Linked DNA regions of Kluyveromyces lactis. The protein of the gene in region 1 interacts with the protein of each later gene in a biochemical or structural test. Links are inferred from orthologs where the notes say so. Each region holds a gene or a part of one and is shown in the gene's direction. Other genes may lie near its edges. The genes, in order: MCM6 and CDC7.

What was found.
Region 2: of the proteins of MCM6 (region 1) and CDC7, one has a biochemical effect on the other in vitro, tested with the Saccharomyces cerevisiae proteins (7 studies listed by BioGRID). The link is inferred for Kluyveromyces lactis from reciprocal best matches to the Saccharomyces cerevisiae genes MCM6 and CDC7.

Annotation. Positions count from the first base shown.
Region 1 is NC_006042.1:935,557-940,163, reverse strand, and holds MCM6 (MCM DNA helicase complex subunit MCM6), read left to right. Parts: upstream 1-1,534; coding exon 1,535-4,546; downstream 4,547-4,607. Other genes in the region: KLLA0_F10109g (C2H2-type zinc finger protein), read left to right, coding at 1-969. UniProt on the Saccharomyces cerevisiae protein: Acts as a component of the MCM2-7 complex (MCM complex) which is the putative replicative helicase essential for 'once per cell cycle' DNA replication initiation and elongation in eukaryotic cells.
Region 2 is NC_006039.1:396,663-400,109, forward strand, and holds CDC7 (serine/threonine protein kinase CDC7), read left to right. Parts: upstream 1-1,236; coding exon 1,237-2,664; downstream 2,665-3,447. Other genes in the region: DAL1 (allantoinase), read left to right, coding at 1-230; ERP3 (Erp3p), read right to left, coding at 317-1,036; trans-2-enoyl-CoA reductase (NADPH) TSC13, read right to left, coding at 2,969-3,447. UniProt on the Saccharomyces cerevisiae protein: Serine/threonine-protein kinase. Needed for the initiation of DNA synthesis during mitosis as well as for synaptonemal complex formation and commitment to recombination during meiosis. Required for HTA1-HTB1 locus transcription repression.

The DNA of each region.
Region 1 (4,607 bases):
AGATCAAGGCATTTCATTTATCCTGATAATGTTAAGAATGTGGACCGTGTGAACTCTCATGGACATTGCGGCCGTTGTAAAAAACACTTTGATTCGACAAATGAATGGATTGAACATCATATTGAAAATCGTGAATGTGAAGCTATTTTGCCAACTTTCAAGGGTAACCTGAAGAAGAGTAAAAAGTGTGGGAAGTTGAAAATGATCATGACCTCTGATGGACAGTCACGTTTCATTTCCAACCAAGCAACTATCAGCGAAGCCAAGGTGCCTATCAGCAACTTCATGCCAGAAAATAGGAAGAAGTTATCGAGTGAGTATTCTAAACCGGCTTCTGCCTCCCCGCCCATCAAACAAACCATATCTGACCTGGCTTTGGATAACACTTTTGCTCTGGCTTCAATACCACTAAACTACAATGGAAATATCAATGGAAATATCAATGAACATAACGACAATCAGAATTACGGTCATTTCGAAAACCAAGTGTATGGCAACGGTGTCCCATCTCTCGCTCCCTCGAACTCTGTCCCCTTCACAGGACAACCACAACTAATACCTCATTCGGGATCTCAAAATACAGCTACTCATTTACGCAAATGTACACAACCATTCGATGAATTCTCCTCATTGAACAAATCACCAGTTGAAGATGCAGCTTTGGACACCGTACGGTCTATCTCATCCCAATCCTCCCATGAACATACTGTTCTCCATAAAGAAATGAACTTCATATCTACCGATCAAAAGTCACAAATAAATCCTGATTGGGAAGTACTCCCCCTCGACATCGAGCAAGCAGGCATGTCTATGGAAGAAGAAGTGAAATTCACGAATAACTCGAATGAACCTAAGATTAATACTACTTTACAAAGACAAATGAATGAGTACGCTCTGGGTGAGAGGCACTTCAGAGAAACTCAGCAATTCATGAACTTTTTCAATTATACTTACAATTACCAAGAATGATTGAATCTTTTTCCATTCGGCTTTTCAGTGGACCTATGTCCACATTAACATTTTCGGTTTATTTTATCTGGTTACATTTTTTTCTTTTCTTTCGATTTTAGATTCATTTTCACTTCACCATTAATGCAACTGACTGTCAGGGGGGCTATTTTATCCCTGGCCAGCTTTCTAAAATCCTCGCGTCCATATACTTATATCGCTTAAATAAGATGAATTCTTACCTACGTATCATTAATTTTTATTATCAATTCACCGATGTTTTATCTTCTCCCTATCGAATCAAAAAGAAAAAATTCCATTAAATTGAACTTTGCTGCATTGGTTATCGATATGTTATGGTCGATAGTCAATGGTTTTCCTCGTGTTATACCTCAGTTAACTAATTTTGGATACTTGCAATACCTCTTTAGGAAAAGTAATATTGAATCGCCTTAACTCAGAAATTAAAAAAATGATTTTACATGTTGAAACACTTAAAACATGATCTTCAATGTGAAGGGCATCCAGGTTGAACGGCTCATCCAAAACCGGACATAGTTGGAGCAAGCTGAAAAAATCAGCAACAATGTCGGCACCATCAAGTCCTTTTCAACATGGTCAGCAATCATCCCAGCCTCCCTCTAGTGTAGGTGCTTATGATAGTTCACAATTCGATGATCAGTCGTTAGGAAACAGAACTCCCCAGTTTCCATCTTCTTCCAGAGGAGTGTCAGATGGAAATAGACATTTCGGTACTGATGACACTAGGCAAGGCATTAATTCAGAATCACAAATAGAGGCTATGGAAAATGATTCACAAGAAATTACTCCATTAGCCGGGATCAGGCAGAAAAACTTGAATGCCATCAAAAAGGTTGATGATAAAACTGGTGAAACTGTAAGAGAGGCATTCGAACATTTCTTGTCAAATTTCACCGCCCTCAATGATGAAACAGGTGAGATGGAGAAGGTTTATAGAGTCCAAATTGAATATATGAGATGGTACGAATTGAATACCATATACGTTGACTATAAACATTTGGCCGAGGTGGAAGACGGAGCTTTAGCGGTTGCTATTTTACAACAGTATTACAGATTTTTGCCATTCCTTTTATCTGGGCTAAGAAATGTGGTGAAGAAGTACGCTCCTGGATTATTATTAACATCTGACTCTGTACTTCCTTCTCAATCTCAAGAGAATTCTCAGGACCGCTCTTCGCAAAGAATAGATTCATCTTTGCCAACTTCGCAGGCTGCCACCGCAGGAGGCACTGCCCCATCTACCATTGCCACTAATCCAGATCAGGTTGAACGTGTTTTGCAAATCAGTTTCCTGAATCTCCCAACTGTCCATAGAATCAGAGATATTAGGGCTAATAAGATTGGTTCTTTAATGGCTATTTCAGGCACAGTCACGAGAACTTCGGAAATTAGACCAGAATTATACAAAGCCAGTTTTACATGCGAATTGTGTCGAGCTGTTATTGACAATGTGGAACAAGTTTTCAAGTACACTGAACCAACCTCTTGTCCAAATCCAACATGTGAGAACCAATCTTTCTGGTCATTAAACGTGAACAGGTCCAAATTCTTGGATTGGCAAAAGGTAAGAATTCAAGAAAATTCCAATGAAATTCCATCCGGTTCTATGCCAAGAACCTTAGATATTATTCTTCGTGGTGACTGTGTCGAAAGAGCTAAACCAGGTGATAGATGTAAATTTATTGGTACTGAAATTGTCGTTCCAGACGTTAGTCAACTTGGTTTGCCTGGTGTTAAAGCAAGTTCGACTCCAGATTCTAGAGGTATCTCACGGACAACGGAAGGATTGAACTCAGGTATTTCTGGGCTCAAATCATTAGGTGTTAGAGATTTAACTTACAAAATATCGTTTTTGGCATGCCATGTTGAAAATGTTGGTACCAGTTTCAATGGTAGTAGGATTAATGAGGAGGACGCCGATAAGACATCCAAATTTGATTATATTAACTTGAGAAACTATCAAAACTATGAAATGGCGGCAGAAACTGATCAAGAAATTTTCCTAACAAGGCTTGATTCTGACGAAATTAATGAATTAAAAGAGATGGTGAAAGATGAGAATATTTATGACAAACTGGTGAAATCGATTGCACCAGCAGTTTTCGGGCATGAAACCATTAAGAAAGGTATCCTTTTACAAATGCTTAGCGGTGTTCATAAAACTACTGTAGAAGGCATTAAATTGAGAGGTGACATTAATATTTGTATCGTTGGTGATCCGTCCACCTCAAAATCTCAATTCCTAAAATACGTCTGTAACTTCTCTCCAAGAGCCGTTTATACTTCCGGTAAAGCATCTTCAGCGGCTGGTTTGACTGCAGCTGTGGTGAAAGATGAAGAAGGTGGTGATTTCACTATTGAAGCTGGTGCGTTAATGTTGGCAGATAATGGTGTTTGTTGTATCGACGAATTTGACAAGATGGATATCGCAGATCAAGTTGCTATTCATGAAGCCATGGAACAGCAAACCATTTCGATTGCCAAAGCTGGTATTCATGCAACATTAAATGCCAGAACTTCAATTTTGGCTGCCGCTAATCCCGTCGGCGGTAGGTACAATAGGAAACTGACTTTAAGATCTAATTTGAACATGTCTGCACCAATTATGTCCAGATTCGATTTATTCTTTGTCATTCTTGATGATTGCAATGAGAAGATCGATACTGAGCTAGCTTCCCACATCGTAGACTTGCACATGAAGAGGGACTCTGCTATTAATCCACCATTCTCAGCAGAACAATTGAGTCGTTATATCAACTATGCCAAGACTTTCAAGCCGGTAATGACTAAAGAAGCTCGTGACTACCTAGTCAAAAGATATACAGAACTAAGGAAAGACGATGCGCAGGGGTACAGTAAATCTTCGTACCGTATAACTGTCAGACAACTGGAATCATTAATCAGATTAAGTGAAGCTATTGCTCGTGCTAATTGCGTGGATGAAATTGTTCCGAGCTTTGTCGCTGAGGCGTACGATTTGTTGAGACAGAGTATCATCCGTGTTGATGTTGATGACGTTGAAATTGAAGATGACGATAACTCCCCAGAAGAAAGTACGGAGGGTGAGGGCACAATACCTGCCACACAACACTTCGGCGAAACACTTGATACACAATCTCAGTCACCTTCTCAACCACTGAACGCCGACTCCGAAACGGGGGGTGGTCCTGACGTAGAGTCTCATGACAACGCTCATCACACAACACATAAAGTCGCAATATCATATGATAAATACGTGGAAATGATGAATCTAATTGTACGGAAAGTGGTTGACAGAGAAAAGAATGAAGAACCTGAAATGACAAAAACTGAGATAGTAGATTGGTATTTACAACAGAAAGAAAACGACATCAACACCGAAGCAGAATATTGGCAAGAAAGGAAATTGGCATTCAAAGTCATCAAAAGATTGGTAAAGGACAGGGTCTTGATGCAAATACATGGTCAAAACGACGATCTATCTGCCGATGTCGAATCCTCAAATGCCAAGACAGTGTATGTGATACATCCGAACTGTAGTGTTCTAGATGAAATCACCCCTAACCCACCTCAATGAAAACTTACTAACTAGACTAATTCAACTAAATTGACCATTTGCACTATCTTTGAAATTTGTA
Region 2 (3,447 bases), on another chromosome or scaffold:
TAAGAACTGGATACGACGCAGATTTTGTTATCTTCGACATCAATACCTATCAGACTGTCGACAACGATAAAGTTTATTTCAAAAACAAACTGACAGCCTATGATGGGTTCAAACTGAAAGGTTTAGTGAGAAACACCTATGTTAGAGGAAAATTGGCTTTTGAACTTGACGGCATGGGACATAATAAAAACCCTCCCGGCCAGACAATTCTTGAACGCAGAAGAACATGAAGTACCCCATCTTCTAATCATTTTTTTTTCTTCAATTTTGAATTACCTTTATTTGATGCATGATATACATATTATATATATATCACTTATGATTTAAATTTACCTAGAATATACTTCATTATTATAATTTCTAGAACAGCAATCGTCGGTACAAGAACTATGGAGCAAATTGATATGGTGACCAACCTCGATGCTATTGATTTAACAGTGTGGTGGTTTCTTTCTGCACGTGATTTGTACAGCTTCAAATTTCTTTCCAAGACTTGAAGCTGATCCTCTATTATATTTACAGAATCTTGCAGTGTCCTCACCAGTGAACTATCTATCGTCTCTCCTATCAAACGAGGATCTGCTGGCTTCGGTATCTGATCGAAACATATCTGTACAATGTCTAAATCAACAATCTTAGGATATTCATCACCAATGACACATAACGCATATTCACCAGTATGTTTCGCAGGAAATGTCCATTGCCCTTGCTCTTCGTCATCTTTGTAAATCATAGGATACTCTGTATCGTCCGGAGACCATAATTCATAGCTTACTCTGAAGGCATTGTTTTCTCCCTCTTGTACTGCGAAGTAATAAGATATTTTGCAGTCACTGTCATCAACATCAATGTAAACACATTCTTTCCCATTCTTCTGTAATTGTACCGTTATTGGTGAGCTTTGACAGACAATCACAAGCGAAAATACCCATAACCATGTAAACTTCATATTTAATAAGTTATACATGAAGGTTGCTTTGTGTGTAAATGTCCTTTTATTCGACAATTCCCCTTTTAACGTCCTGTTTCTGTTCATTAATATATGTCATTTCAATGTGAACTACTGCTGTTTGTTATTATATTTGGTTTCGACAATAAAAATGAAAACATCGCCAAAAAATGCATAGAATAAAAGAATCAACGGATATAGCGTATCTGTTCTTGTAGAGTCAAACCAATGGGTATACAGCTCGTCTGTTAGGCTTCATATTAGGTGGCAATATACACACTATAATTATGGATGACATTCCCGCTGAAATCATCCAGGAAATGGATGATTTGTACGATAAGGTACCACAGTTGTCATCCAGATACAAGCTACTGGATAAGATCGGAGAGGGGACCTTTTCATCGGTATATAAAGCTCAAGATCTTAGCAACGTATCTGGAAGGTTATACCCTGATCATTTCTGGGATAAGAATAGTAAACATGTGGCTATCAAGAGGATATACGTGACAAGCTCGCCGAACAGAATTGAAAATGAACTTAAACTCTTAGAGTTACTGTCAAATTCGAATAACGTAGCACCATTATGCGACGCGATTCGATACCAGGATCAGGTGGTTGTCGTCTTGCCCTGGTATCCGCATGAAGAATTCCGGCATTTCTACCGAGACATGCCTATCAAGGGGATAAAGAAGTACATGTTTGAACTTTTAAGCGCCTTGAAATACGTGCACTCATTTGGAATCATTCACAGAGACGTGAAGCCAACCAATTTCCTATACAACCCAATACTTGGGAGAGGTGTGTTAGTAGACTTTGGTTTGGCTGAAGAGAATGAAGAGTTGTACTTGCCTGACCTCAACTATCGTGTGTATGTTAATGACCAGGGAGAGAAGGTTTGTAATTGTTCTTCACCGTATGCTAACAACAAAAAGACATCACATCTGCCGTTGATATCCATTCAGAACGGGCAGCTTAACGTTAGAGGGGCAAATGAATTAAGTGCTGCACAAAGTGAGAATCTCATGAAGGCAGAATTGAGTAAGGGGTACCCAAAACATGAAACTAGGAGGCAGCGTAGAGCTAATAGAGCTGGTACGAGAGGGTTCAGAGCGCCAGAAGTGCTTATGAAATGTTCTTTCCAAACTCAAAAAATTGACATTTGGTCAGTTGGTGTGATACTGTTAAGTTTCATCAGCAGAAGGTTCCCAATCTTTCAAAGCATGGATGATATTGACGCCTTTCTGGAGATATGTTGCATTTTTGGAATCAAGCCCATGCAAGAAGTCGCCAAGTTCCATGGGTTGGGACTAGACATGACAAAGGTTCCAGGTTTCCATTCGGAAGGATATCCTGGGGGGCTACAAGGTTTTGTGAGAGCTTTACTTGACAAAGAAGTGGAGGAAGGAACATTACCAGAGTATTCCATAGCGTTCGAGACGTTGGATTATTTGACACAATTTGACAAACAACTCACGCCAAGTTTAGGCCCAGACGATGAAGAGGATATTGATGATAAAATACGGAGCTACAAACAAGCAGTTTGGGACGATCATTTTTGGTGTTTTGATCTCTTGGCAAAATGTTTCGAACTCAATTCATACAAAAGACCCAGCGCCAGTGATCTTCTTGAACATTTATGGTTCAAAGAACTGAACGAAGATTTACTTGATAGAGATCAAAGAAGAGAAGATCACTTCACCGGGGTCGTTGAGTAATGAAATCCAGAACGAAACAAAAATATTTGACGAAAATTAGCATATATTCACCGCAATAACTTAGAGCAGAACTCATTTTTTATATACATGCATTCATATATAGAGTTCTTTAACCGATAGAGTAATTTAATACTTTGCATTCATCATCATTATTATATTTAGTTTACAAACGTTGCCAACGCTTTGACGGCATAAGTTAGAGAACAAGTGCGTAAATAAACGAGTAAAACAGCGTTATTCACTTAAGAGAGAATGCTATAATACCCCAAGTCAAATATGTATGTGGTGATAGTAATTGGTGAATTCAGAACAAGAATGGGATCAAGAATGCTCTCTTGGTACCATATTTCTTGTTTTTCTTTTGAGCCCACAAGTACATCTGAACCACCGAGACAACAAGGAAAAGAACTGAGAATAAGTTCAACTTGAACAACAAAGTGAAAAACATCCAAGCCCAAGATTCAAAAGTGTAATTTGGAGCGACAAGTAGTTTGAACAACCCAGAATTCAATGGGACTCTCTTCGTGACACCGTTTCTCTTTTGTTCATCACCCCATCTACGCAATGCGACATGGATATAGAAATTGAACATCTCTGACAATCCAAACAAAGCGGTTAAGACTCTGAAATCAGATATCTTGAGAGCGCTGTAAACTCTGTATAAGGTCTTGTTAGCGAATGGGAACCCGTAACCAAAGTAACCCAACGAGATCAACCCGTTCAAGATCCAGTAATGGAAAGAGTTCTTGAACAAATTGAACAATGGCATGGTTTCCAGGGAGA